Linked DNA regions of Coturnix japonica. The protein of the gene in region 1 binds, or shares a complex with, the protein of each later gene. Links are inferred from orthologs where the notes say so. Each region holds a gene or a part of one and is shown on either strand. Other genes may lie near its edges. The genes, in order: SMURF1 and SMAD1.

Region 1 (15,956 bases):
GTTATTTGTTAAAATGCTGTCTCATTTTGGTGTGCAAACTGGAAAAAATGTTAGTGATTCGGGTGTTTGATTTGCTTTTGTTACCCCCGGGAAGTTATCTTAGCAATGTGTTAGAGAACCAACCTTTTAATATTAGTTTCAGGTATACTAAAAAACAGCCTTATATGGCTCTCTGGAGAAATTCTTATCCTTACAGAACTGAAGTCGTAAATCCTTTCAATAGCTTTCCCTAACATTTAAAATGTATTCACTGTATAGTTACCCTTTTACCACAGCCTCCAAATAAACCTTTCACACAGCCAAAAACTTCAGAACAGAAGTTAGCTCTGTTGATGTAGCATTTGGTGATTTCCATTTTGAGTCTTCAAATATGAAGTCGCAAAAACATCTCAGGTAGAACAGTGGCACAGAAATCACAGCTTTGGAACTGAAGTAATTTTGTCCTCCGCCTCCTCCTTGCAAAGCTTTCTCTGTAAGGTAATTATATCTGAGCAAACTACGGAAAGTAATTCTGCAGGAGGAAATAACTGTTTTCATGTGCAAAACAATTAGGTTTCAGCCAGGACAACCAAAAAGAAATCATACAATACCATTTAAGCTGTCCCCAATTCTTTCGCTTCTCTCAAGTTAAGCCACAGCTTCCACTGGGAGCTTCCTGCTAAGGCAGAACTAGAAATACTTTGCCTTTCAGTTAAATGCTCATATGGAGGTAATTTCTGCTAGAAGTTCACTTTTTAATCAGGTTTTTAGAATGTGCAATGCAAATTCTAGCGCCAGTCAGACACACTGCACCCACTGAACCCTACAGGGCTCAAGCTTGATTTTAGACAAACTAACCAGGCACTCCTAACCATCTGCAAGTCCTCGGCAAATCAAGCTCATTCTTAACTACACTGCGATTTTCCTATTAAAAAAAAAACAACAAACCCACAGGTCATCGACCCATCACAATATGTGTTACAAATCTAGCAGAATATCCTGTGTATCCAAGGCCAAATGCTGAACTTGGCTGCATTACATTTTATGGGGATGGAAGAAGAGGGAAGGGCTTATTGTAACAAAGGGGGAAAAAAAAAAAGAGTTGGAAACCACCAACAAAAGCCCCTGCCCCCACCATCATCCACCAACAGTGGAAGGGAAACAAGCCATCTCCAAGTTGTCTAGAGTTCCGGTGCTTCAGACAGCTTAGCAGGAAGTTCACAGCAAGCTTCTTCTAGCTTTTGATTTGGTGGTCCATGAGCTAGCATCTGTTTCCTTTGGTTGCTTTTTCACTCCACAGCAAACCCACATGTCTCTTCCACAGCTGTCAACAGCTTCTCGTAAAGCTTCTCATATGACTCATAAGGCGGAATGTCAATCCGGTTAAAGCTAGAGATAAAATAATAACACATTGCAGATTATGAACCTAACATATATATTGAAATTAAGGGAAAAAACCAACAAAAAAACTAACATACAAACCCTAGATTAGCTACATAAAGATAGAATTTGTAAAATTCATGTCAAAGCCTCAGCTCTTTCAATGGTCAAAGGAGACAACATCAAAGGAGTAACTGTACTTCTGCAGCAGGAATGCCTTACTTGGGCTGGGTCAGGGAGGAAGAGATGCAGGAGACTTGACACCAGGCAGGCCCGCTCCTTGCTCTGCCTGTATGTAATCTGTGCTTCTACTGAAATCATTTCTTTTCCCTGACATTCCATACGAGAGCTCAGTTTTGTATCAAACAGCACTTTTCTTATACTTTACATCTAAAAACTACTCTTTCTAATCCTCAATGAAGATTCATTGCTATGAGTAATTTATCAGTGAATACTTTTGCTGAATATGTGGACATTAACATCTCACTATTCAGAATAATTGATCTCAGGGCAGACAAAAACCACAGGTAGAACAGAAGACATAAGCCAAGCATCAAGCAATAAGAACTTCAGTCAACTATTTTGCTGGCTGCAGAGTACAGGTATTTCCAAGCTAGCAGAACATACTTGGATTCATCTAAGCACCTCACACGGGTTAATCCATAGCCAGGACTAAGATGGCTACTTTAAGACAAAGGGAAAGTACACACTGACAAGTGGAACATTTCATCTTACCAAGTGTGGGCTTTTGGAAGGTTGTCTGTGTTTGCATCTATTAAATGGATGGTAAACAGTCTGGGTCCTGCAGCGCCTGTAGAACCTTACAAACAGACATTCTAGTTAATGCACTTCAACAAAATAGCATTAATGCACACGTATTTTGCTATTTATAAAAAGGCAAGAGAAAATCACAGTTCCAGGTGCAGATACAAGTGTGCTATAGCCTGTCTGCAGATCAGATTTGCAGCTGGTGAAGAGATAATAGAAATGATGGGTCTCTTAATGACAACAAACTTGCAGAGCAGTATTTTGGAACGTGGTTAAACTTCACATAGTTATATTGAAAAGTCTCAAAAGTAAGAAGACTTTTCTTGCAAAACAGAACTATGCATTCCAATTCTGAAGATCAGTTTGCTGTCAGCTAACACAAGCAATGCTATTAGAAGAACCACAAGTCTAGGACACTGCTACCTTTTATGACAACCAAAACTGCAACTTTCAGGAAGTTGTTTCAGTCTAATGGTCTGCTGCCAAGCATCAATGGGGATACACTTCTCATGTAAAAGAACTGCTCAGTCTGCTCTATAATCACGTACATGCTCTTATGCAGTGATACTAACAACATCAGTCCACAGAACTGTAAGAGACTGATAAGCCAGTACTGACAGCAGCCTAAGTGCTACGTGAGGACAGATTGTCCAGCTTGCATGACTTGTTAGCAACAGCTAAAGTGGTCACCAGCAGCCACTGATAAACGTAGAACTGCTCTTAGGATGAAAAGCTTGCAAGTGATCGAGTTATCCAGTATTGATATTGCTGATATTCCAGAAGGGCCCAATAAATTCCACACAGTCTTCCTCCCACTGCATGTTAACTCAGCCTCCACATCAGTCACCTTGTAAAGCCTTGAAACCTTGAAGTGGGACACGCGTTGAACCTGTCACAAACTGCAAAAGCCTTGCCCTTCTTTCTTCATCAAATGTTTCCACCGCTTGCCAGAACCACTTCACAATATTGCTATCTGCCATGCAGTGCTTTAGGCGTGTGTTTGACTTCCAGTCATTCAGGTCTATCTTATCCAGGCCTCCTATGATTAGCTGTTAATGGATTAGAAAATGCTTTAACATTCAAAGTCATTTCAGTTTTGCAGCTATGAAAACATACATTGAATTATTTCACAATGCCCAGCATTCTTTATGCACTCGAGCCACCTTCCTGGTACACAGTAACCCTCCAAAACAGTTTAGAACAGGAAGTAAATCTCCCCAGTTAATCTGCAATGAAACTGAAGCCGAGGATTGCACCAGAACTGGAATTTTCAGAAGAAATCAGATTCAAATGCCCATTCAAGACCTGCTTTTTAAATCTACCCCACCTGAAAAGTACAGTGAATCTTTGTGAGGACACAGCACAGACTTGGATGAAGGCATGCCATCCACTGAGTTGACACAGAAATCATTTTCCTGATCTGGCTTTGTCCTAGAGCTGCTAATAACCCACTACAAGAAAGTGCTGCTCAGTTTATGGTTACAGCCTAATTGGTCTATTGTCCATAACTAACCATTAAATACAAAAACTTAGCAGCTGTTTTTTGATGTTGTTTATGAGAGTGTCTGACAAAGACTAGACAGATTACTTCAATCTCTTTTCCAGATGAAACCAGGTTGCAAAATATTGAAAGAGGAAGTCATTATTGGCCATGAATCTAACCAGCTACCCTGGCAACGACAAACAAATGGCATACAGGAGACATCATCACTCAAAACAAAATGTGTGTCATATTCTAAATTTCCCACAATATTCCATATTGAGAATTCCATTCTAAGAGCTGCCATTTAGCAGCTGTCTTTTTGTGACACCAAGATAGTACCCACTTAGACTAACTTACAGTATTAGGGCTGTTGTAACTATCCTAATTTGGAAAGAATTGAAATATTAATTGGATTTACAATCTGCCTTTTTAAACAACTAACTCATGGAACACAGTAACTTCGTGTGAACAACTGGTCTGCACAAACTACTTCCATTAAACTACTTCTTCCAATGCTCCAAATAGTCCACTGCCTTCTTTAAAATAATAAACAAAAATCAGAAAGAAAAACGGTGCAGAACTCTGTACCTCAGGATTAAATGCAAAGATAAACTAATTCATTTTCTATGTGCTCTCTCACTTATACTTTAGCTGCTGTAAACCATGACTTATGTGTCTATAGAAACAGACGTATTAAAATAGTTATTGAAGAAAACAAGTTCTGGGGCACATAACAGGTTAGGTCTTGCCAGCAGCTCTTCAGGCTTGCAATTCTCCCTCTCTCTGCCCAGACCACCTGCTCTGAGCATTAGTGATTGGTTACACAGCACGGTGTATTCATCTCCCCTGTCTGAGCAGTCCTCTCACTAACACTAACCCAAAGCACATCTAGAATAAAACAAAGTTTTCTGTTTAACAAACGCATAACCTTCTAGTATAGAAACTGTAATAAACTGTATTGTTATTTACTTTCAAATCAGTGCTTGAGTTTAGAATGTACAAATTACAAACTAATATTCCAAGAGGTTAAGATGTATACCTCAAGCTCCTTCTGGTCAAAAGGCTTGAGGAGATGTTGGGGAATGAGTTCATTAAAACCTTTCTGCAGAGCCAAGAACTGTGCTTCTATGCCTCTCATAAATCGCCAGTTCACATACAACCTGGGGGAAGGCAAAAAAGGTCAGAGTGATAAGCTGGATAAGAATGGGCTTTTTTGAGCAAGGCTGGAAAAAGTTCATTTTACAGAGGAATTAGTTTTAAAAGACATTTTATGAAAGAAATGATTATTAATTCCTTTTGCTATCGACAGTTAATTATTATACCATCAACAGACAACACAATGTACAACTTACAACTTCTTCTTCCCAGGCTTTACTACATTACATTGCATGAAAACACGTAATTTATGAATCAGGTATTTCCCTCTGAAATACCCATACCATTAGTTACACCATATAAAAAGAAGCAACGTGTTCACTGCCTTCCTTCCACTACATTTGCAGGATATGTTCTGCAATACCTGACATATTCTTTCTTGTTCTCTTCTGTCACTGGAATGTTCCTGCCGTTCGGTTTGAGTTCGTGCTGTAAAATCCTCCCAAAAGCATTGTGTTCCACACAGAAAGTATGGTCCAGAACCGGGGTGATATCGTTCTCTCTAACAAATGAAAGACAGAAGGTAAACGTTGTATTTTTGATCACTTGCAGTGGCAATGCTGACAGCTTGTTATTTGAACACACAGTGTCAGTATAAACCTGGTAAGCATCCATCTGCATTCCACACCACTAGAGGAATGCTGCCACAACCACTGATTTCCATACGGCTTAATGTCTGCTGAGGAGCCCAGTCAGAGGCGCCATTCTCACCATTACAGTTGTGGTAGTATTTGGGATAATGAATAAATGATTAAACCCTAAACACACACACATATATATACACAACAATAACGCAATCTGCTGTCATCTACTGAGTGCAGCACAGAAGAAATCAATTATTTTCAATAACATACCAATAACTTCAAACTTAAATTTAAAACAGCCTTTATGAAAAAGGAACAATGCGAAGAAATGCTGAAGAATCCCAAAGCTTCACCTAATGATGATGGGTTTGTTTTGTTCTAAACTGTACATGTACAAAGTTCAAATTAATTCAATTTATTTTCTTTTTAATCAATACTGTTGTTTTTTTGTTTGTTTGTTTTTAAATCCATGCTTTCTTAAGGCCAAAGGTTGTACTTCCAAACTCAGGACGGAGTTCTGAGGATTCTGATACTGTGGTATTCTACCACACTCACGCAACTCTTAATTCAGAACCTAATTTACTACAAGGAGGCCTAACACAGTTTACATGAGAACAATTTCCTCACATAGTTTGAGCTTTTTGACACAGAAATTGTTCCTTGGGAATTTTGTCCCCATCTCCCCTGTTACAAGACCCTTCTATTTTCTGTAAAGCATTATCTTCTCCACAGCAAGACAACCAATAAATACAGTACTTACAGAATCCAGACTAAACTTTTGTGTAGTTCTGGGTCAACAGATTCCAGATCAGAGAGCTGAATGGGTTTCCCCAGGAGCTGTTTATAAAAGGGAACCGTGAACCCCCCATTGATATAGTGTCCATGGAACACAGCCAAACCCATTATCCGACCAACAAAATGGAAATAAGACAAATGGTCCTGCAGGGAGAGAGGAGAAAATCAGGCAGCACAAAGACACTCTAACACTGACATCTCGTGGCTATTTAAGTGCAAATCATCTGCAGCCCCTCTGGGCAAAAGGAACCACATTTTTTCCTCATAACATAACCAAGAAGAGAAACATTTAATGATTAAACATATCAAACAAGTCTCTGCACTTTACCTAATAAACTATATACAAGTACTTTAGACCTTGCAAGCAGAATTGCTTCTCCTTTTAGGGTTTATATCAATACAAGTCCTGCAATAATGAGGAAGCAAACACCCAAACTACACAGCAGCTTATTGAGAGGCCTCTCATGCTTTTCCATTTCTGTGCAAACCCTGCTCCTCTGCATTATAACAATACAAGATGTGTTAACACATTTTTACCTCACTTCACTGTCTATGTTCTCATTGTGAAAGAATTAGCTGCAATTATAAACTGCAAGGGACAATCTCTTAAAATACACACATTGCTCAGAAGTCAATACTTACGGGATTGATAGAGGAGTCTGGATTGATTTGCAGCATGTAAATATTATCTGTAGAGTACTGGAAGAGTCCATAGTATGGATTCAACATTTCATGGCACAGTAAATACAACCATTCTCTGCCAAAAAAGAAAGTGTTATTTTAAAAGAATGCAACTTCCACTTAAGTTTTAGATAACACAGTTACTGTGAACCATTAACACGGTTATCAGTTTCTTATTTCAAATTAAATCTTCTACTGCTTTCCACCTGCAGAAGAAAGAAGTACACTTAAAATCTTACTGTATTTTTCAACGTACAGGTTGCTTGGTTGTAGTTTATAAGTAGTGAAGAAATTAACATGAATTAACATAGCTAGTAAGCAATGAGACAATGCCATCTCATTCCTTATCCATTCCCTAAACATGGTCAGGGGCATATTTAAACTAATCAAATCTGTACAAGACTCATTGAAAAGCACACACAAGAACACAAACACATACACAAAACCCCACCAGTTTTACAGCTAAAAACTGTCAGAAAAACTAAAATCTCACCTTGCTACTCCTCCATAATCCAGGCCTTCCTCGCCTCGAAATTTTACCATAAGTCTCTTTTTCAAATCCTTGGGCCTCATCTTCATTATCTGACGGTAGGATTCCTGTACATGTGTAGACATATTTATTGGTTGGGTTGGTAGTTTTTTTTTTTTAAACAGATTAGACATTTTATTTCTTTTCTATAATTAGCTCTACTAAGAAGCAGTAGTACAATAGATTTTTTTTACTCAGCTGCCAAAAAATTCTGTTAAAGGGCTAATCTAAAGCACATTTCAATGACAAGACTAACATTTGTTGGTATAAAGTCCACAAAAAGCTTAATTCCCCTTTGCTACAAAAGTACTTAAAAAGTAATCCGATCTAAGAATAGAAGAATGCCCAGTTAGAGTTACTTTTTACATGCCCACACACACAAGCAGTAATAACAAGCAGATTCCATTCCTTTTCAGTTTTCAACTTTTGTCATTTCTAAATGAAAAAGAACGCTCAAATTTGTCAGCAAAACCCATGTACACTTTACATAACCCAGCTTTCACCATGAAAGGTGAAAGCCTTTTAGCAACTAAAAATTTGTATTGGCAAAAGAACCCCAAACTACTCAGAATTTCTTCTTATAAATGGCCAAGTTAAAACATGAAACTAAATGAATGTTCTTTTTCTTTATTTTAATCAGAGTTCTGATAATCTGTATGATACCACCAGATTCACCACTTCTCCCATTAAACTGACTTGATGTAAGAAAAGACCAGTTTTATTACACTTGAATGAGAGAAGTTGATATTTGTAATAAAGAGTCCATCAAATACCTCAAATATTTCCTCTCTGGACACTTCAATTCGGCAGTGACCTGCCTGCGGCTGCTGAAGGGAAAGCTCATGTCTAAGAACTTTCAGCTTTTGCACCAAGTCTCTTTCATATCTCTGTGCAGGCAACTCCTCGCCCTCTTCCACGGACCCCTCATTTGGAGCTGGCAGAGGCTGCTGGCTGGGCTCTTTTAGCTGGCATTGATGGCTTTGAAAGAAAAGTAAAATATTTATTCTAGAAGCATTACAAAATGACACAGTAGAAAAGAACTACCTCTACGATTACTGGAAGAGAAATGTGTACTTCTCCTACATAGACAAAGCCTCAAACGTTCATCCTCATTGGTCATGCCTTTATGTGGGTTGAGGATCCATTTCATATTTTAAATAAGAGATTCTGCAGTATATTCTTCAAGCACAGACTGGTTGGATCTAAGGCAAATTCTGAACTCAAGCACAATGCACACCATCAGGCTTCTTCCAGGGCCAGTTCTGTAACAGTGCAGCTGCTTTTGCATGATGTAGAGCTTGAATTTATTAAATCCCGCTAAACCTGAGCTGGCTGTGCACTGCACCAGGAGACCAGACTCCACCTGGCTTTATATTCCTGCTGTCTGGAGCTCAAAGGAGCACAAAGCCAGCTCAGATCTACCAAGAGCTAGAATAGAACTAGAACTGCTAAGCCAGAGAGACATGAGCAGAGTGCTGTGGAACTGCCTGGCAGATCCTCTACTCTGCACTGCAACATTTCTAGATCTGCATATTTTCTCCGACACAACTTGGTGCAGTTTGGTCAAACCAACTTAAAAGATCAGCATTATGCAGAAATATGCAAGCCCTCCCTGGGGACTGCAAAGCATAATAAAAACAGTTTTGTAAAGTCTTTGCATGAAGGTTAGACAAAACTAGGGCTGACAACTAATATTCAGACCCTGATTAGACTCGCACAAAAATTCACCTCCTTGCATCTGTTGCCTAATATCATTAAGCAATGGGGTTTTGTTTCAGCATCTCATGACTCCCGGACTGTAATTAAAATTGTACAAAAATAAATGGCTTAAGAATCCAAACTTGAGATAAATTATTTATCATACAAACTTCTTACTTCATGATGTGATGTAGTCGTGGATCTGTGAATTGTGTGGTTCTGTTGTTATGATCTACAAAATATATTCTTCCTGAAACTGTACTTCTAACTTCCCAACCTGGAGGCAGAGGTCCCAGTTCATCGCAATTCACACTGTTAAGGTCTCTAAGGAGAAAAGTAAACAAAGTTAAAGCACTCCTGAAGTGAAGGTGGAACCAATTACATTCAGGGAATGGGGAGGGGGAGTGCATTTGGCTCTTTGTGATTCCAGGCTATGAAAGCCTCAGGAAAGCAGTACACTGTAACTACTTTAATGTTGCCTTTTTAGAATCCTTCATCTAAGCAGTGCAACTTTGTAATCTGTCCTTGAGAGTAACAAAGCCATGCAGCTTAAAAGTAACTTCAACATGCAACATCATCATTTAGGCAGAGCTGCAAAAGGCCAGAGAGATCTTCTTTGTAGCAAAGAGTTTGACAGAAAATAAAAATAAAAAATCCTATTAACACTAATGCGACCCATGTGCAGAAAACCTAAAAATGAAAGGCCTCTAAATCAACCACTGCCTCCAAATACCCAGGAGGGTAAGAAGCCAAGGCAGCCAAACACTAAAATGGCTTCAAAAGAAAAATTCACCTATTTAATTAGCGAGGTTAGAAACTTAAGTATGAGAAATCGCTCACAGAAAGGCTTCTCTGACACGTTCATCCCTTTCATTCTTGATAGCTTTAAGGTGCCATCCTTTGTAGGAGCTGCTAAAGGCAATCACTCACCTTCAGGTAGCACAATAGCGTTTAAATTCAACACGGGATGTATTTACAACTCGAGAATTTAAAACGCTTTAAAGCTGCTCCATATAGTAAAATACCAACAATGGCAAGAAAAAGAAGGAGGGGAACCTGGAGACTGTTGTTTTGACAGGAACGCTGTTAAGGGAGGTGTTCTCTAGACAGTTGAGGCGGGTTTATCTATTATGCAGGGCTGAAGACATCACTCTATAGATTTCATTACCTAAATCTAACAGCCCAACATCAGTATAAGGGTATGAGAGGCTTTAGAAAAGGTAGAACACTTTGTACATCAAAGGCTTCATTACTGTCAAGGGATGGCATAAGCCAGCATGGGGTACACAGGGAGACAGACAAGCCTTTGTTAGGCTCCTTGAAAGAAGATTATAGTTGTAACCATTTGTTTCAATCAGCTGTGCATCTGAAAGTGCTTTAGAGATCTGATTACACCAAGTTTTAACCTACATCTGTGCTAAATGCCAAGGTTACATTTTTGCACTGTAACTCTGTGGCAAAGAAAAGCCATCTCAACCCAAAGACGGGTGACCACTGAATCTGAGACACTGCTGTGACCACCTACATTGCTGGTCCCAAAATCCTGGCTAAAATGTGCAGCAAAAAGAAGCAGCAGCTTTCATTAAGTAAACCAGGATCAGTTGGAGAAGAAACAAGGCTTTGAGCATCCAAGCCTGACTTGACTGACATGAAGAATGAGCATTGTCATTTTTTCTTCCAACAGCATCAGCTAATCTAACATCAGCGCTTTTATCTCTCTCTGAACCTCATTTTTTCATATCCTCCCATATACTGTGGTTATATCTACACTTTTGCCTACACTACTGTATATAATTTTTCTAATATCCTGTACCACACCGGTCTATTACACAATGAACACAGCAGCTGAAGAGTTACAAACGCTGTTCTTTACTACCGAACTGGGTGTGCAGGCAGCCCAGTGAAACAGTCCAGATTCAGAGCTCCTCAAGGAAGACAGACAGACCTTAGTCACAAAGACCTGGATTAACTGCAGGTTAAGTTTTAAAGTGGCTTTACTAAATTAATCATGTGGAGGATTCGAATTTCCTAGCTGCAAATCATTGGTCTGAAGCATAAAAACCCCAGCACTACTTCAAGTTTAAAGACTGGAGGTAATCTCTGCTTCAGTTGTACAAGAATGGGCACTATTATACAGAAATTACCAATTCAATACTCAGGCGGCAGTCACCTTTTTATCTAATTTGTAGTCCAAACTGTTTCTAAAGAAAAAAATTTGATTCAGAAAACCAACTTTATAAAAAACAATAACAAAGTCACAGTGACCTTTTGGAAGGGTTTGCCAAATGGTAATTCCTGAAGGACTACATGTTTTTCTTTGCTTGTTTTACAAGATTCACTGGTAGATAATTCTCCCTTTCAAAGTCATCTTTAATGTACAGTGCAAAGCTAAATGGAGAGAACCAAAATCACCCCTCTGCTCATCTCTCTCACATTAAATTTAGATAGTCTATTTCATAATTATTATTCTTCAAGTTTTCACTGATTTTTGCTCTAAAAGATTCAGCTCACATCTGTACACACACAGAATCCCACCCCATCGCCCTATAAATACATACCTTGGTATCCTAGGGTCATGCCATGTGCTAACTCCAGTTTGCGTGTGCAAAAAATAAACCTGGCCCTGTACCGTTGTTCTTTGTTCTGCGAAAATGGATGGAAGATTACTTTAAGGCACAAACCTAAAAAAAACCAACCTGAATAAACAGTTAGTTTGAAGCCATTGGTGTACATTGTCTTTCTGTCAGAGCTAGGAGAAACTACTTGAGCCATCCCACCCGATCTCTTGCAGCACAGACTGCTTTGCCCTTAAACACAGTGCTCACAAGTTTACTTGACGACACAGTTCAGCAATCCTTTTCAAACTCAGAAATCCAGCGTGTTTCAGTTTGTATTTTTATTTTTAGATCTTGAGACATCTCAAACCCCCCAAACTGGATTTCTTTCCTCCTAGATTTGGCGTGCTCTTTTCCGAGCTTTAAATTCTCCCTAATCTTATCCTTCTTAATCTTCTGTACTACTGGCTTCTTTGCTTTTATATTTTCCTGATCTTTTCTCAAATGTGGGCTCAAACCTACACGATATGCCAAGGGGGAAGGAAAAAATAGCACTACTGCTCTAGTTTAAAGAGCTCTTTACATTCATTCTCCCTAGATACAATGCCAAGATTAGCAGTGAATTTTCTGTAACAGCATCATACCACAAACTCATGTTTAATTTACCATCAACCTCTCAGTGTATCCTGGAGTAGACAACTGCTAATTAGACTCAAACTTGCAGCTGCACTGCTTAGTTCCTTTTCCAAAACACAGACCATTAGATGCTTATAGATACTTCACGTCCTAACAGGTAAACCGCATCGATTTGGTAAATTGGGATAATTTTCCTCTGAAGTCTTTTGAAAACTTAAATCGAATGGCTCTGGAAAATTCTTACCATAGCCTTCAGGTAGGTCAGGAGACTGGTGACCATGAGGTCTGTTCTGAGGTGTCTGGACATGACCTCTGACTTCAGGAGTCCGAAGTCGCTGTGCCTGAAGCCTCTGATCTTGACTGGGGGACTCTACAAAGCGACAATTGCCTCCACCTGCAGCCCCTGTAGTGTCTGTGTAGGGTGCTGGTTCTTCCATAAAACAACTCAGTGGCCTCCCCGGTCCGGAATCTTCATAAACCGTTCTGAAAATGGGGAAACTTCAAGATTTTCCATCACAGAAGTGAATGCAGAAATAACTGCTTTGTTTTTGTTTGCTTTTTTTCCCCTCTCTCTCCATTACTTTAAGTAACTTCCAGCCCAAGGTACATCACTTTCTTACACCAAATTTCCTACCCAAACAGAGGCACTGGTAACAAGAAATATCAAGTCCTAGTCAGTTTAGATGATTTTCTTCTGAGGAAGCATTCAGCTACAGCTTTACTACCTGTTACGCGTTCCCAGAGAAGATAATAGTCGTTATATTCTTTCCACATATGAACTTGTTTTCTAAGTAAGTGTAAAGAAAGGAGTCCTTACCCTTCATTCTCCAAAAGCCCTCTACAGTCTACTACAGAACCTCCGGTGCCTATTCTGTCCCGTGTCTGTAAACTGACTGAAATAAAAACCAAACACAAGTTAATAATTGTTCCCTAAGCAACAACAAAAACCAGACAACCCATATTTACACAGCATAAAGCACTGAGGAACACTAAAACCATACTGCACATATGAGAGCACATCACTCACGCCAGATCCTTCCATAATCCTAACACACCATTGATTTTTTAAAAAGGGTGAAAAGGCATCAGAGGCATCACATCATCAAAGCTGAAGCTGAGCCTATTTCTGTGAATGTCAAAAGGCAGCTCCCACAACTGCATTCCATGAGGATTCGGGAAGGTTATATGGGAGGAAATTGCTCACCACTAGATGTCATCATTACAGTGAGAATTTAGATTTTGCTAGACATATTGATGTACATATATTGAAAGGTTTGGGTGCAGGGCAGGGCAGGGGGAGGCAGAGCAATGTGGTGATATGGGTTAAGTTAGAGTGCAAAACTAGCACTGACAGAAGTGGGAAAAAAACAGACATAGACAAAAATCAAGGATGGTATTAAAACAGCAATTCTTTAAGTAACTCTTATCCAGGTAACATTCTGTTTGCCTGCCATCTTGGTCCAAATGCAATTAGTTTTACAGTAGCATTCACCCTTCCAGAGCTGCAATAGGAACCTTGCCAAATGCACTCCCTCTTTTTAATATTGTTTGCCATTATTAAATAAGAGCAAATCAACTCATTTGTAAGAGTACAACAAAACAATTTGTGTTATGTAACCTAATCCCATTAAAACCTGAAGAAACAACACAGAAAAGGCTCTGAAGCAACAACCATGGATTTCTTTTTCAATACATTATTTGCCCTCATAGTGTATTTATCTAAACAGATAAATATTTAACTAAGAGTATTCTTACCCACTATTTGGCCTCGTACAGCATCAGTATCTGTGGGATTTAGTTTGCATAGATCCAAACGCTGGTCTGCAAACAAGAATTGAAAACATCAACAAAACACCAAGAGGCTAGGAGAGAACACTACTCACTACAAGATACAAGGCAATGAAGGTTCTTGACTGTGCCAGATAGGAGCTGCTCTTACATCCAGTATCTTTTAGCCTGCTGATGGCATTGGAGAGGAGTCGGACACACCCCAGGAAGCCAGCTCCCTGTTTCTTGTGGATTTTTTTATGGTTCCATACACTGATGGTTATGGAATCTGTCTTCCCAACATACCTAAAAAACATACATAGCAGAAGAGTGATTTTAGAAAAAAATACCACTTTACTCCCCAGTATTTCTGTGGAACAAATTCTGATACACTGGAGTACATTGGTCACGCTCCTCTATTACAAATACAGAAGTGCTTAAGCCTGGAATGGTGTTATTAATGAATTACTGCACTATGATTTTACACAGCACATTAAATTGATATTGCTGCAGCACAAATTAACCACAGACAGCCTCATTAAAACCTAAGCGTCAAACTCATTGAGGTAGAAAACTTTTTTACAATTTATATTTCTTATATTTTGAAGACAGTGAATCACTATAAGGACAGTGTGCTGTAAAAGCTGAACTGCACTCGTCCTGTAGAGCTCAGTACAAGCAGAGGTGCTCTGTACCTAAAATACACCTATTTCTACATTCAAACACAGAAAGCAAACAGAAGCAAACCTTTATTAGCAGACAGTTTTTTGTTATTGCAATAATTAGTCCTCCTCAGTAAATATGATTCTTGGTAACACAGGATGAAGCACCGGTGGCAATTCTCCTATTTCATTTATCAGACAGATCTATATATACACATACAGGTTTACATATGACCTAATGAACAACTCACAGATCATAATGCTGGTTCCATTTGGGGTCCAACGTGTTCTTCACAGTGTCAGTTGAGTGGCACTGACCTGACCCATCAACAACTATTTTTGCAAATGGGTCAGGAAGTCCTGTGGAAAGGAAAAGGGGCTGTTACACGTAATAGATTTTGGTTTGTTTCTTCCCAGATAACAACATCATGAAGTCCTCTCAAGAAAGGAAAGGTGCCATTATCCCCAAACTGAAAATAGAGAAAGCAGTTCCTAATTAAAGAACAAGGTATTTCTGCCCTACACATTTCTATCCGCCATAAATAGTAAAATAATTTAGGAAACAGGTTAAACATGCTTAATTTAACAGTGCTTAAATGGTATAAGCATACTAGTAAGTAGGCATTTTAATTCAATCCTTAATGTAACATTGAAACCACTGCTCTGGGATACTTGCACCCTTGGCATGTTTTGCATGTACTTCTACAAGGGATGGATGTTATTGGTAACCCACAGGAAGAACTGTAAGTAGCATCCTGCTTGCAGTCTCATCGGCCAGACTTTCAACAAGAATTTGAGATCCTTGGTCTTTCCCAACACTGGAGCCTGCATCACCCAAATACAGTTGAGGGCAATGCGTGTTTAAGTAGTGATGCAATGCTACTGCAAGCACATGCAACCACAGAACAAATCACATCCAAAAATGAGCCAGGACTGTAAAGCACATTCTACAGATAAACCTGGTTAATTAAGAGCAGAAAGTTAAAAAAATTAAGGCATACTTACTGAAGAAATCTTTCTTTGCAAGATTCTTGGCACATAATACTGCAAAACAAAACATCACATTAAGAAATCTTAAGAACAAATAAAGCCTTACAGCAATCACACCCCTGACAATACTGCCCGATTTTAATTCTTAAAAGAAACCCAAATAATTAATATGAGCATCGTTTTCTTTATCTGTGATTGGAACATGCACTTTGCTTGTTTGCTCTGTTGTTGCAAAGTACAGATTTAGTGAATAACTCTTTGTACCAAAGCCACCTTGTTTTCTATGCTACATGC
Region 2 (14,580 bases), on another chromosome or scaffold:
CCCTTCTCTCTAAGGCAGCAAGCTCCTTGTCAGGTTGCAGCCCTCAGCCATATGGAATAACAAGTTACCAGGGCTCAGTACAGCAGAGGAGGTCGATCTCCACAGCAGCTGCCAACTTCAGGAAGAGGTATAATTGAAGGGGAGAAAGCATGAGAGAGTTATTCTGTGCTAAGCCAGCACACCTGTTGCTATAAAGTAATGAACTAGGACACATCTTTGTTGTGGGGATCTCTGCAGGACACTACTGTAACAGTTTGCAGAGGGAACTTCTCCCTGTTTTGCTGTCTTTAGTGGAAAACAGTTGCAGAAGTATGAAACTATATATATATTTATTTGTCACTATTTCTATTCAGTTGGATGCATATATTTAAAGGAAAAACACTTAATACACTGTTGTCTTTAAAAGCTACTGAAACAATTGTATCAAACAGCATCTCAAAAAATCTGTAAATTCAACCTTACAAAAATGGTTAAAACCGGTTAATGGAGTAGAACTGCAGGTCATCAGACAGCTCAATTTCTGTGCTTTCTCAAACACCGGATTTAAAGTTTTTAGGGGTTAAGCTGTATCTCAATCTTGCTGCAGACGTGCACCTGGATGCCAGCCCTAAAATATGCCTACTAGTAGCAGCATTGCTACTAAAGGCTGAGGAGGAAGTTAAACCCCGTGGAAGTCAAGCTGGATACATTTGCAAAACTGAAGCAAAGAAGAGATCCTGTATCTGTCAGCAGAGTGAGACAGCCTGGGAATTAGGCAGCTTGTTCTTAACATGCAAATTGCATTCAGAGTTTGCCTGCACCAAACAAGCGGAGCTGTATTAAAGAAATTACAGCTAAAGGGCAATTTCACCCACAGGGCTATTTCATCTAAGAGCCAAGAACGTCAAAAACACAGAATATAGACCAAAGACAACTGGGCTGCTCAGATAAATGTTCCAACCAACCACACCAAGAAAGAAATGCTCTTATGAAAATGTTTACAGTGGCCTTTGAAGAAAGCTACTGATCTCTACTCTTTGTATCTCCATTCTTCAGAAAACTAACAGGTGTGCGACACTCAACATTTTCTTGGTTTTCCTTTTTGTTCTAATTTCACATTCCAGAGATAATGGTTTCAGCAAAGACAGAAAGTCACAGATTTATGATTACAACTTCTTTTTTAAAGCCTCTCTCTTAAAAAATAAACCCTACTCCAAACCAAAGGATCCGCTGTACATTCCAAGTATCTTATTTTTTTCATCCAGATGAATTCTGCTTGTCTTACACAAGCCCAGATGACAGCTGATTTTCCCTCATGGGCTTATTACATGAAGATTTGGGTAGGGATCTTTCTTTTCATGTCTGTAAATTCCAAGAACAAATAATGGAATATTCCAAGGAGCCACACATCAGAAAGCAGGCTCTGATCATCCTTTCCAAAGTAAATTCCATTATTTCTGCTAGCTTTACCAAATAAATAAGTAAAGGATGAGCAACTGCTGCTTCACTTTCAACCACCCTGTCCTTAAAAAACATGACAACTTGGTGGGTATATGTTATGTAGAAGTGCTTGTGCAGCCTTACACCAAAACAGGCCTTATGAAGTCCTCAGGGCACTATCATTAGACTGTGTACTTTAATTTGCAAGCATCATATGGCTTGTTTTCATATGAATTTATGCAAAGCTGCTCATGTTTTATGGGGAAAATAAAACTGCATGCTGAGAAGGAATGAAATCCTCATACAGCAGTTGGCACTATCTGGAGATGGGCATGAAAGCACAAGGCTCACTCAATGCTCTTGATAGGTCCTAAGAGGCAAAGTAAGAAGTCAGAGAACAAAAGAAGAAACACCAAACCAGCACATACACACACACACAAAACCAAATAAATCCTAAAAGCACAGCATCAATGTTAAGCTAACAAATTCCAATGATTCTGAAGACTCCTGCCTCAAAATCCTGCCTTTGAGGCCAGTGCAGCTGAAGCAGGCTGTGGCACACCGGCAAGTAATCACTCCCATGGTGCCAACAGAGCAGGTACCAGCACACACCCAGCTCAGTGCTTACCTCTGCTTGCTGTCTCCAGCATTAAGGAGTCACTGAGACTTGCTGACTGACATGTCTTGCCAAGGTCTTGCTTGTAAACAAAAGAACACCAAGCAGAAAGAAAAGTTTTCATGCCATTAGGTTTTCTTGTGTTGCCTCAAACGGCACCTGGCAAAACTGAATTATTTTTTTTGACCAGAGGACAAGTTCTCACATACAAAGATACTTGCATGGCTACACTCATGATCAAGTTTATTCTTGGTTAAAAATAATTACTGTTGTGGCAAATGCAATTCCCCACAGATCTCGCTACTTTATGCTGTTACAATACCTCCTGGCTGCAGCAGACAGTGCTACAGGCTGCAGAGCACAGCTTTGCTGCTCTCTCTGAAGCAGAGCTGCCAGCCTTTGGGGCTGTTGCTCCAAACCTACATTCTAGTAGCTGCAAAGGAAAAGGCTCAACAATAGCTGTCCAGCAGTCTGTGCTGGGTGACAGACAGACAAACAAACATTCCAGACTTTCTATTCCGGGGGAAAGCTGTGAGCTGCCTTGCTTTCTCAACCCTTTGTTTTATTTTGCAGTTTCTGCAGACCCCACAGCTTGATTTGTCATCTTACATAGTTGCAACTGAAGACTGTGTTTAAAAACAGAAGGGAAAAAAGAAAAAAAAGAGAAAAAAAAAAAAAAAAAAGCACAGTTATTGCTTCGCTGACTTTACTTTTACATCAGACATCTGGTCTAAATGCATTTGGCAAGTAACATTAGTACATTTCCTGTATTACAATATCCAGTTAACATTAGATTTTACTTGCGGATGCTCTGATAAGCTAACGTTTTGATTAAACTGACATTTGTCAAGGCCAATTTCAGAATTTAGTACTAATCATATGCACATTAGCGAGGGAGTTCTTGTAAGCTGATTTGAGGGGAGAAGCACTCCTGATACAGGAGCAAGTACAGGAGAAAGTTACAGTGTGATAGCGTGCATTAAGTTAGACATTTACACAGACCAGAGTTCAAATTACCTGGATGAAAACCATAGTTACCATCCTACTGAATAGGTTCAAGTATGGAAGTCAGCTCTTCTAAGCCAGAAGAAACATCTGAATCTCATTAATTAAGAAACAAACCAACATCCTTCTTGACAACTTCTGTCCCTTTACTGCAGCTCTCCTTCCCAAGGCTGGACAAAGGACAAACAGTTTGTGCCATCCCCCACCCTCCTGTCTCCCTGTTTCAGTTCTGGTGGGGAATTCTAATAATTATTATAAATAATAATTCAGCAAAACTGAAATGTGCAAAGTCTCACACTCCCTGCCAAACGAGCTGACAGTTGTTTACTATTTCGGGGAACCATCTTCTAATTGTACCCACCTGTTGTCGCACGCTATTTTTAAAGTTACGCCCAACAGCAGGGTTATGCAGCAATAAGGCAAAACTTCCCAGCGATGCCACCCCCTCCTCACACACCCCTGAGCCTCCAGAGGTACACAAACCGTGCTACGGGAATAAAGGGTGAATTTCTGTAAACTGCTTCTGTAAATTAGTTTAGTAAACTGGATCTCCTTTTTCTGTTTCAAATCAGCTGCTGACCTGTTTCTCTAGTATTTTCCTTTTTCAACCCCTCTCCTCTGTTTTCCTCCTTCCACTGCACTCGCTTCTCCTTCTCCAGTCTCCCCCCCTTACAGTTCCCACACAAGGCTCCTCTCCGTGCTCCCTGCATCCCCCCTTATCCAGCACCACCCTCCAGAAGGCCAGGCAGTGGAGGAGAGCTGCACACAGCTGGTCCCCAGCTCCCCCGAGCCCTGGCCATCAAAGCTTCTCCATCTGGCCGGAAAGCAGCCGGAGGCTCTCCTGCCGCCTCCGGTCCTCCCAGGTGCTGGGGCCATGCAGGCCCTGGGAACCCTGGAAGCCCAGACAAGCTGGCAGTCCCATAGGGAACTGCTGTTCACCCTCCGTTTTCCGCCCTGCTTCCCTGTTTGACCCCAGAGGAATTACAGCCTCTGCCCATTTGATGATGATTGCTGAAACAGCCAGAGCCACAAGCAGCACACTATATTCGAACTCTGCTGCTTATCTGCAGCCTAAGCACTCCTTGTAGTGATCCAACAGGTAACAGCCTGGGTACAGTAGCTCCACACACAGCGATCCTAAGCCGGGTGGGTACCAGGGAACAAGACTGGGTTTAACTAACGGACCCATTTCATGTTTTTATACAGTACCTATATGGAGAAAGAACACACACGAGCAAACATAAGCTAGCACAACTGCATGCATAATCACGCTACACACAACCAAATATCTGTATGATTTCAAATGGCATTCAAAAGCTCCTTTAAACATTTTCTTCTGCTGAGTATCAGAGCAGCAACAGTGTTATGTGGAGCATCTACTTCCAGGGCTGCACAAATCTCAAGCTGCCTTAGCCAGGGTTTCCACCATTTTAAGTTTCCTTCTGCACCTCTGGTGCATGCAATCAGGTGTACAGCCTGACAGACATTCAGAGCAGAGAAGATCAAAAACAAATATGAAAGCAATCAGGTTAAAGTCATAGGCAGGAAGCAAAAACAGCACAACATAGCTACTGCTCTTCTCAGAGCCCAGGAACAGACTTGGCCTGTTCTTGTGCCATAAAGCACCTCTACATTTACATTAAATGCTTCTTGCCACTGCAGGCAAACTTAGTGAGGCAGACATCCACTTTAAATTCATGTTTATACTGGAAAGGAACATGATATTTAGGCAAAATTAAAAATTCAGCCATTCTGACAACACATTCACCCACGTCACAAATAAGCACCCACTGCTCATTCTGCAGTTTAGGCAGAATACAGGTATCCAAGCAGAAGAGTTCATCGGTTGATGAATGCAGCCAGAATTTCTGAAGACATATAAGCTGGTTCTGACAGAGCAGTTTTAGTGCTCCTCTGGACTATGTGGTTCAAGAACAGTGGAGCATTAGTATCATATCATATCATCTCCAGAAATGAATGCCAAAACATAACAACTACATTTTCCAAGCCAGGATTAAGCTTTCTCAGATCTGTGCAAAGCAGGCTGCTTCTAAGCCTGACCCCCAGAGATACCAGGGCATTCTGGACACACGCCACTCTCAGAAGATACCACTCAGTCATATCCTTGTATATACCCTACATAAAATACTCTGCACCACCAACTTCCACACACCGAGCTAAAAGAAAAGTTAACCACTCTCTTGCTTCCTTTGCAACATGTTACAAACTCAAACTCTCTTTAATCTAGAACACTGTTGAGCAGCAGGGGCCAACTAACACAGTTCTGCAGCATATGGCACCCATGGCCAATATCCATCAGTTCTATGGGGATATGAATTTCTTCCTTCCTTTTGTTTAACTAAGCAAAGGAACTGAACCTCCTTCCCTGTTTATTTATTTATTAAAGCAGTGTCAACTTAAGCAACTCTTCATCCTCCCTGTTCCCTGTCCCATCTCTGTTTTGCTATTAGATCAAACTGGATCCAGGCTTCCTATTTTTTCCAAATTCTGAGTCATGTCTTTCACCTGATTCCATTGGAATAACTGAAGACAGAGGCAAGAAACAGAGGGAGTATCTCCATGAAACAAAAGCAACAGATTAAAAGAAGGAAAGAAAGAAGTATCTCAGGAAAGGCTTTGGGATGCCATTTTGTGTGTCCTCCAGCAAAACCAGAGAGGTCATTTGTGGCATTTTCAAGCAGAGTTGAGGAATGACACATTTGCTTTCTCCTCTCCCAGTGCCTACACCCAGACTCAGGTCTCAGTCATACTTACAAGCCCCAGAGCACATAGAAATCTGATCTCCAGGTATCTCTAAGCCAAAAACTAAAACTGAAGGGAAAAAAAAAAAAAAAAGCAGACTCAGCCACACAAGCAGCCCAGTTCAGCTGACTGCACCAGTTTTTAAAAGGCATCAAATTGAAATCCTGCCCTCCTTCATTAAAAGCTTTGCTTTGCCTTGCCAAAGGAAAAGAAATTCACACCTATCAACTACCACCATTTCTGCACCAGAAATAATTCTGCACCCAACAGAGCTACAAAACAGAAAGCTAATGTAACAAGATATTTCATCCTGGCAGTAGAGAATAAGATTGTGTTCCTGTTCTCAGCAACAAAACAGCCTCCACTTGGAACGCTCACTTCACACCACCTCTGCTTCCACCCACAGGCCAGATGTGAGGCCCTGTGGGTGCATGGGTGTTCTCGCATCCCCTGGATGACCCTGATCGGCCCATGAGATAAGGCAGCAGTGGGATGAGAACAAAGCACTGCCAGTCTGCTTCAGCACAAGGCCACTGAGACAACTGCACTGGCACAGCCCACTGTAGGAGCTGCTTGTGAATGGCATCTCCAAACAGCAATTTTCTGTCTGGTTAGTTTTTGTGACCATATGGGTGCTGATGCCTGCACAGAGCCTCAGCACCGGGTTAGGTGTTACCATCATACCACCAAATCACACCCAAGTCTCTTACTGGATACCAGCGGTTGGGGACACCTGGGAGGCTCTGAAACTCCAGGCAGTTCTCTCCTCAGCCTCCCCACAACTCCTTGCAACTGGTTTTTATCCAACCTAGCTAATGGAGAAAAACCTCACTTGAATTCAGGTGTAACACTGTAGTCCGCAGACAGACTAAAGCACACCAACTGCAATGATTTCCAAGCTTGTGTTTTTAAGCTGGATAGCAAGGATGCACCCCTTCTAGCACCGTGAAAACATAAAAGCATTTGTGAGACCAATTTCCCAACTGAAAGCACTACATGATGTTATCTATTTGAGGATTTACCGTTAATCCACTCTTCAGAACTTACACAAACACCAGCCACGTGACAACTAACAGGAAAGTGAACAGAGCACACTGATCCCATCCCAGGCAGCGCCCTACAGAGCAGCTCCTGAGGAGCTGGGTCTGTTTGAGGCAGTTAAGCACTGACCAAGCTGGCAGGCAGAGCCAGGATATCACAATATACTTGTACAGCCTGCACAGTGACCATCACACACTCTCTCGAGCTTCTAGCTTCATTTAGTCAAGTATAATTCCAATCCTCCTGGCTGTGATAACCTTGGAAACACAAGTCTCGATATCTGCTTGGAAACAGTGACTCATGTGTGAATTCCCCCAATCCATTAATCTCAAAGCATAAGCACTTAGGAAGCAATAATGGTGTTTTAATGTCCAGGCAAAAATGGGGAAAAACAGTTAGCCAAGTTTGAGAGCGACTGTCAGGAACTGAAGCTGAGAGTGACACTCTGGGGACAAACAACAGGGAAGGGAAAGGAAGAGATACTGTAACTTATGAAGTGCACATCTCTAGGCCAAATGGCAGCTCAGTTACCACCTGCTCCCAAAAGCCACGTATTCCAAATTTATCTCCATGCAATATCCCTCAAAACAATGATTGATCTACAGCGTTAATTAAGTAGAAAAACCTCCTTCACAAACCCAGCCAGAGACCTCAGTAAAAACTTAAGGCTTTGACCCCACTCTGGCATTGTGGAACTTTGGAAAAGTTCTTAAGATGAGACCCCAACATACACACAACTTTATACCTGCAGCCCCACGACTCATTAGGCAGAAGGCAGCTCCTGCTCAACACTCCCCTCCAGTAAATTTCAGCTGGTCAGAGCAGCACATCGATCTTCCGGTGGATGAAATCCTTTCATCAGCTCTGTCAAGGCCATTCCAGCCCTGATGTAAACAAGCAAACTGCCCAGTTGCTTACTAAGGTGATAACCAGAAGTACTTAGTTTTTCCTGAGGGGCACTGGCTGAGCAGCGGGAAATATTTCATTGCTACCATCTCCAAACTGATTAAGTCACTCTTTGTTTTCTCCCCAGCACAAACTACACAAACTCTGGAAATTTGTATTTTACCCTAAAACAGCAGGAATCCCAAATTCAAAAAATAACATTTTGCTGGTTCCCAACTACAAAATGTAGAAGGTGACTCAGGGCCCAAAACCACTTTCCAACCACTTGGGCTACCTAACAGTACTCAGCACATTTTAGTTAGACATCTTTTGAAAGTTCTATTCTATTTTTACCATGCAGATCTCAGTGAAGTGACAGGACACTTACAAATATAGTCTTAAATATGGCATAAATGATAAGAATTAGAATGTTCTCAGACTTGGTAACTGCTTCCAAGACGAAAGGGAAATGAGCTGTAACACATCACTTGGTGTTACCATGACAGCAAGAGCCCAACTGCTGCTCACTCTGACCGAACTAGATGTGCTTTGGGAATCTTAGTTTTCAGTACTTTGGAACACTGAACATACACACCAGGTGCAGACACATGCAGAAAACTAGTAATACAAACTATTTATTTTATTGTCCCACTTCTGCTCAACACACAACCCTTAACATTTGTTAAAACTCCTCTTTTTTTCTTCCTCCAGTGCAGTGTTTAAGCTTTTTGTTTAAGCATCTGCTGCATAAAAGCCATATTTTATGGATATCACACACACGATTTCCAAACTAATACTAACACACCAAAGGGAAATATTTGCCATCTAGATATACGCTACGTGTTGCAATTCCAAGATAAATGCTATTTCCATTCACAGGAAAATAATCAGGTAACAACGTCATTTCCACTGCAGTTCTTAAGCAATCCATGCCACTCTGCAGAAACAGCTCCGCAGTTTACAAAGTGCCTAACACAGGCAGATTTCCTAAATTTAAACCAGAAAAGCCCTCTCACACCTGCAGTGCATTTTCTGCAGATGTCCCTGTACAACCTCACAAGTAACTAGAGACCAGTGGAGACATGTTTACGCACATTTCATCTTAGTCCCTGGAAATATTCTGAAAACAAACTCACACAAGCAAATCAAGCACAGATTTACTAAAAGCGGGTTGGGCCCTTGAAGAGGAGACAGAGAACAGGCTGCACTTGTTAAAGCGTGGAAGTGGGTAATGGGTAAACACATTCCACTTGCAGAACAACTAAAGGTAAAACATCATGTACAAAATAAACCCCACTATCAAAGCTCCAGGTTGAGAGGGTATATTCCGTGTCTGAAAAAAAAAAATAAAAAGCAACCAAAACCTCAGACTTCAAAGGCCAAAGCTGAAGGCAACCTTAAAGACCGTAGTATCTTCTGAAGGGTGAAGGAAAAGAAGTGATAGAAGTGAAATAATAACAGTAAGATCATATCAGAAAGTTTTTCACCCACTAAACGCAGTTACCCTTCCTGTTAGCTTGCAACATTTCATACATGCTCAAACTGCGCTGTTCAGTAAAAATATAAAAAAATAAAATGAACTGAGGGATAGTGGCCACCAACAAAACCAGGAGGCAAGAGATCCAGCAACTTAAGGCACACACAGACAGTATGCTGCTGCACAGTGACAAAATGCATTTATATATGGCAAGTATTCACCCTGTGAAAGGGAGAACTGCGAATCAATGCTTATATCCAGACAGATTGCAAAGTACAAATCTGACGTGTGCAAACAGCGACTACTGCTTACTTAAGCTGATGAGTCACATGATTAACTGCCACACTTTGCATTGTTTAGATAAGGCGCAAAGGTACAAACAAGGAAGAACCTACCAGGACTTTCTACCCGCTTGTAGTGGTAAGGATTGATGCAGACCTCCTTCTGTTTAGAACCAAAAGGAAACTCGCAGCATTCCAGTGGTTTCAGTTCATGATGGCTTTGCAGGTCTGGCCAGCGCCACACTCTGCAGTAAATTACATGTGGCAGCCCTTTCCGGTGTGAAACCTGAAGCCGGCCATCCAAGGACCGAGGAATTGTGACACAGTTGCTGGGCTGACCAGGACAGCTTAATGCTTTCTCCAGTTCTTCCATAGCACCTTTTTTCTTCTTCAGTTTTTTCACTAGTGCATCAACAGCCTTCTCCGCCCATTTTTCTTCTTCATCCCCCTGCTTCCACCCCAACAGCCTCTTCACTGCCGGGCTGGTGAAGGAAAACAAACTTGTCACGTTCATGGTGACCTCACTTGGTCACACTGGATACCACAGACCAAGCAGGAGAGACTGTCCTGTTCTTCCACCGCAGCCGCACTGCAGATTTTAATCAGTAGTCAAAAGCAGTCTGCCCAAATATTGTGGTGCTTCTGCTATTTCAGTCCTCCCGTCCCAGGACGGCCATGCTGACAGTTCCCCTTGACAGATGTGGCCTTCTCATCTTGCTAAAGCCTTCCGGCTGAGAACCTGCAGGAGAAGAGCGAAAAAGGAAAACAGATTTCACTTTGTCAATTAACCACCAGCAGTCAGAAACATTCCACCCCACAGGGCCAGGGTGACCAAAACCCAACCGATCAACAACAACAAAAAAACCGCCACCACAAAGTGTCAGCAGTCTCAACATCAGACTGAAGGAACAGCCTGACAAGGACCTTTAAATAGCAGAGCATGCTGGTAAAGTCTTTATACTCTTGCTACCAAAACAGTCCTAAATAAATGAGGGGATTGCCCTGAAAAACAGTGGCACTGCATAAACAAAACAGAACAAAATGGTTGAAGGGAGTTAGAGAGAAGCAGGAAGGAAGTGCAAAGGTAGGGAAACTTAGAAGGTAGGACAACTATCCCTCTGCTCAGTTCCCGCCCGCATCCAATACGCGATATAGCCTCAGTGATTTTTGTGCCATGTAGCAAGGGCAACTGCATTTGCCAACTTCAAATAATGTTCCTGCTCACAGCCCAAGTGTAGCCTAAAACAGCCCCCCATTTTTTATCTTTCACCGCTAAGTGAAAAGTACACTCCCCACAGCCTATCAGCTTGGCAACTTCACACAGCAAAACGTCCCAATAAACTCATACAGGATGAAATCAAACCAAAACTTTTGGTTTTGATTTCCAAGTGAAGGTGGAAGCAACATACCTCAACAGCACTGCACTACCCAGATCTCTACAAGCAATACGATTTGAGAATAACTGCATGGGATCTGCGCATATCACAATCTGTGACAAACTGTTCAGCTTCACCTGAGTTAGTCTGAGTGACAAACCAAAAGCAGAACAGGAAACTAGAAAGATCTGTGCCCTCATTCAGCTCCCCACGAGAAAGCAAAGCTCTGTCTTCCTAACCCACTAAAAAGCCCTCACCTAAACAGAATGAAAGGGAAAGACATCACTGACTACATCCTGACCCCTCCCTTCACAGTGCCAGCCTGATGTGCTCAAAGACACATGAAGGAGCAGGAAGGAGGAAGAACTGATAAGAGGGTTTGAGGTAGTACTGTGATCTTCAGGTTGGGAGGTGTGAAACAGCAATGAAGCAATGGGTGAAGGGAGGAGTAGAACTCTGCATGCAGAGAAATCCCCATTACAGGGTCTTCTGCAAGCAGCGGGCTTCACGTTTACTCAGGTTATGAGCAAACAAGAGACTCACCTCTGCCACAAGGAACAAGGAGATAAGGAGCACTAAAACAGAAGCATTCAAATTAAGTATGAAGACAGACAGGAAATGTATCCCAGAGCAGATACCGAGAGGTTGCAGAGGAAGAGGGAAGAGGAAAAGGATAGAAATGTTTTTGTTACCATCAGAAACACCAAAAAACAAAACAAAACAAACAAACAAACAAAAAACACAGAACAACCCACCACAAAAAATCCATACGCTGCCCATACACAGACAGGTTAGAAGGTATCAGAGCAGCCATGAGCCTGAATTGCAAGTTTATAATCAAAAATAATTATGGATCTTGAAATTTTAATTGCTAAGCCACACTTATGCTCCTAACTGTCATAACTGTAATTTCATTGCGTACCTCTACACTTAGAGTACTTCAAGCTGAAAACCATCCACTTGATTCAAATAAGTTGTCACTAAAATAATTATCTAATTGCAAAGGTTCCATTTTATTAGGTCAAATGTATAAACTACATTTATGTGAATAATGATCTTAAACTAAGACAAAGACTGCATCCACCTGCGCTTCATCCTGGTACTTTCCATTCATTTATTCTGAGACTTCTACTTGAAATAATAATGTCAGTGCAATGGGAGAAATGCATAAGCCTGGGGCAAATTTAACAATAGATTTTCTTACCTGAGCATAAGCCATACTGGCAACTGAACTAAAACTCCATTACTGTCACTGACTGCACTCCAGGTATATTTTATCCTTACATACATTCAAAAGTGCTGTACTAAAATGCTGTTTTATTTCAACAATTTTATTATCAGAGACCCAGCACACTTACTTCAAATATGCATACAAGTATTGGAGCTATTCTCAACTCATACATAGCCTGTATCTCATTCAATGTTCTGAATAGCTTTTTTCTACTTTTTGAAAACAAAAAACACCAGTTCCACACACAAAATGTACACTACTGTTATCAAGTAATCAAGTCAAACTTTCTACTTCACATCTATTAGATCTGAAACAACAACAAAAATATTTTAAATATGTGGATGGAAATTCTAGTGAAAAACAAGTCTAAAAAGTCTAGAAGTCTAAATCTCAAACCCAGCTTCAGTCTACATACATAGAACTGTGTCTGTGTTGATTACCATGGCATGACCCACTTCTACCAAGCTGCTTTAAAAATAGATGGGCAAACTGCTTCTTGTGTAGAAAAGAAGTTTTCTGCCTATTGAAACAGTATGTTTTCACTCGGGCCTGAAAATACAGCCTTAGTATGTGCTTGCACTTACGGTCTGATAAGACCAGGAAGACATTCAGATGTAACCCCAAGCAGCCACGCCACAGGAATAGATTTTCTGACATTCTTGGATCACACCCTGTAACATGCACATGTCCCATTCCCATAAGCACATGCTCCAAAATATGTTCAACATCACAACCAAAAGTGTTATCTTAACAGCTGGCACCTCTGGAGCAGCAGCCAGCAGGAAATGCACTGGGAGCAGCACAGCGAGGCCCATTAGACACAGTACTTGAAAATACAGTTGAAGGCAAGGCAGCTTAGCAGCTGTGAGCTGCATCTACAACCTGCTGCTGACCTCCAACCCCAGCACTGCTGCTGAATTTCAGCCTGCCCAGAGAAGATCCAGGCCCTGAATTAGCCAGAAAGAAAAGGGAAAATGAACAAACGAACAGAAATACCCCGGGCTGCTGTATACCACTCGAATGCTAAATTCCAGTAGTGGTGTCAAACTAAAAAAAGGTCGTGTAGGTGGAGATTTTCATTTCCAAGAAGCCAGAAGCATGCCCGTAGCACTGAGCTTTTGCCAGTACATTCTGTTTCCCTTTTTGCCACTTTTGGTTTTTGCAATGCATCATTTCCTGTATTACTTTTGCACAAAGTGGTCTTATCAGCTGGAAGCGCAAAATAAAGATTAAACCGCAAGTCAACAGATGACAGTCTGCATCTGCCTTCCCAAATACACACGTCCTTCTGGGAAAATAGGAGCTGCTCTTCCAACAGCTGAGTGACCACCAGCCCTTGAAGGTTATGTTTACTCACAAGGTACCAGCGCAACAAGCTCAGCCAAACAACAGGACACCCTCCAAAAGGCAGTCTGGAATTGGTTGAAAGGAAATGAAGTTGTTACCCACTTATCAGCCACTCTTTACACATCAAAAACGATGCGCTTTTTATTGCATGTTCTGTCTGCTGATGGATGAGCTGGAATCAACAAACTCTTAATATCAGCACTGCTTTATTCCTCTTCCTCCACTGCCGCTATCTTTTGTGTGATCTTTGGATTGACAAACACACAGACCCACATGCAGCTTGTGAGGGGGCTGGGACAAAAAATGAGTGTTATACACAGAGCTGTTCAGCCAGCCTTGGGTTTAAACTGCCATACTCGGGCAAAACGCCTAAAAGCCAAGCTCTGCTTTCCTATGCTCACAATTACCCTGCCAGCAACACAAAGCAGACAGTAAAATACTCAGCGAGACTGTTCTCAAATTCCCACAGGAGATCCCATAGGAAACTGCCCCACTTTGCATAAATGATTGTTTTTGGTGGGTGGAAAGGGCTGGGACAATGAGGTGATCCTCTGCTGTGCAGGAGGCGAAACAACCCCAAACCCGAGTTTCAGGCAAACAAGCAGCTCTAACTCCTCTACTAACTTCCTTATTTGTATCACAGCCCAGGGATGCAGGCAAAAAGGATCCCATTAAGTATTTTTCATATGTACTCAGAGCAGTTAGACATAAGACTAGGCAAGAACCACAGCAAACAGAATCTACATAACTGTTAATGAAGAAAGCTGTCTAGTTTTCCTACTGCACTTTAAAAACCCAATGTTATTCAATGTATCTTCTCCCAGTGCCCATTAATTATTGACAACATAAACAAATAACAAGAAGAGAGATATTAATTTGCTTCTTTAAAATACTTCTACCTTCCCCAAAAGACAACTTTTCAGCAGTTCTTGCTTCCTTTGAGTACGACATTTATTTTTTAGAAGTTTAAAAGAAAAAAAAAAAAAGATCAGATTTTGGCATAGGAGCCAGAGAGCTGTCACTTCCCCCCTCCGCAAGAGCTATTTCCATGTATTACTGTATAAGACCAACTCCAAAGACTGAGCTAACACCGTGTGAGGTATCAGAATAAACACTGAGCTAACACCGTGTTAGGTATC

What was found.
Region 2: the proteins of SMURF1 (region 1) and SMAD1 are in contact, whole or in part, in an NMR structure (PDB 2LB1), measured with the Homo sapiens proteins. The link is inferred for Coturnix japonica from reciprocal best matches to the Homo sapiens genes SMURF1 and SMAD1. Residues at the interface, in NP_065162.1 of Homo sapiens: Glu313, Val314, Arg315, Ser316, Arg321, Tyr323, Val325, Asp326, His327, Arg330, Thr331, Thr332, Gln333, Phe334; in NP_001003688.1 of Homo sapiens: Asp221, Thr222, Pro223, Pro224, Pro225, Ala226, Tyr227, Leu228, Pro229, Pro230, Glu231, Asp232.

The regions. Positions count from the first base shown.
Region 1 is NC_029529.1:4,320,741-4,336,696, forward strand, and holds part of SMURF1 (E3 ubiquitin-protein ligase SMURF1), read right to left. Parts: intron 15,717-15,956; coding exon 15,678-15,716; intron 15,033-15,677; coding exon 14,924-15,032; intron 14,317-14,923; coding exon 14,183-14,316; intron 14,065-14,182; coding exon 13,999-14,064; intron 13,137-13,998; coding exon 13,061-13,136; intron 12,742-13,060; coding exon 12,488-12,741; intron 11,696-12,487; coding exon 11,611-11,695; intron 9,377-11,610; coding exon 9,230-9,376; intron 8,333-9,229; coding exon 8,128-8,332; intron 7,423-8,127; coding exon 7,319-7,422; intron 6,902-7,318; coding exon 6,787-6,901; intron 6,289-6,786; coding exon 6,110-6,288; intron 5,268-6,109; coding exon 5,130-5,267; intron 4,771-5,129; coding exon 4,650-4,770; intron 3,177-4,649; coding exon 2,975-3,176; intron 2,180-2,974; coding exon 2,095-2,179; intron 1,369-2,094; coding exon 1,269-1,368; 3' UTR 1-1,268. UniProt on the Homo sapiens protein: E3 ubiquitin-protein ligase that acts as a negative regulator of BMP signaling pathway. Mediates ubiquitination and degradation of SMAD1 and SMAD5, 2 receptor-regulated SMADs specific for the BMP pathway.
Region 2 is NC_029519.1:27,354,723-27,369,302, reverse strand, and holds part of SMAD1 (mothers against decapentaplegic homolog 1), read right to left. Parts: intron 10,227-14,580; 5' UTR 10,002-10,226; coding exon 9,602-10,001; intron 1-9,601. UniProt on the Homo sapiens protein: Transcriptional modulator that plays a role in various cellular processes, including embryonic development, cell differentiation, and tissue homeostasis.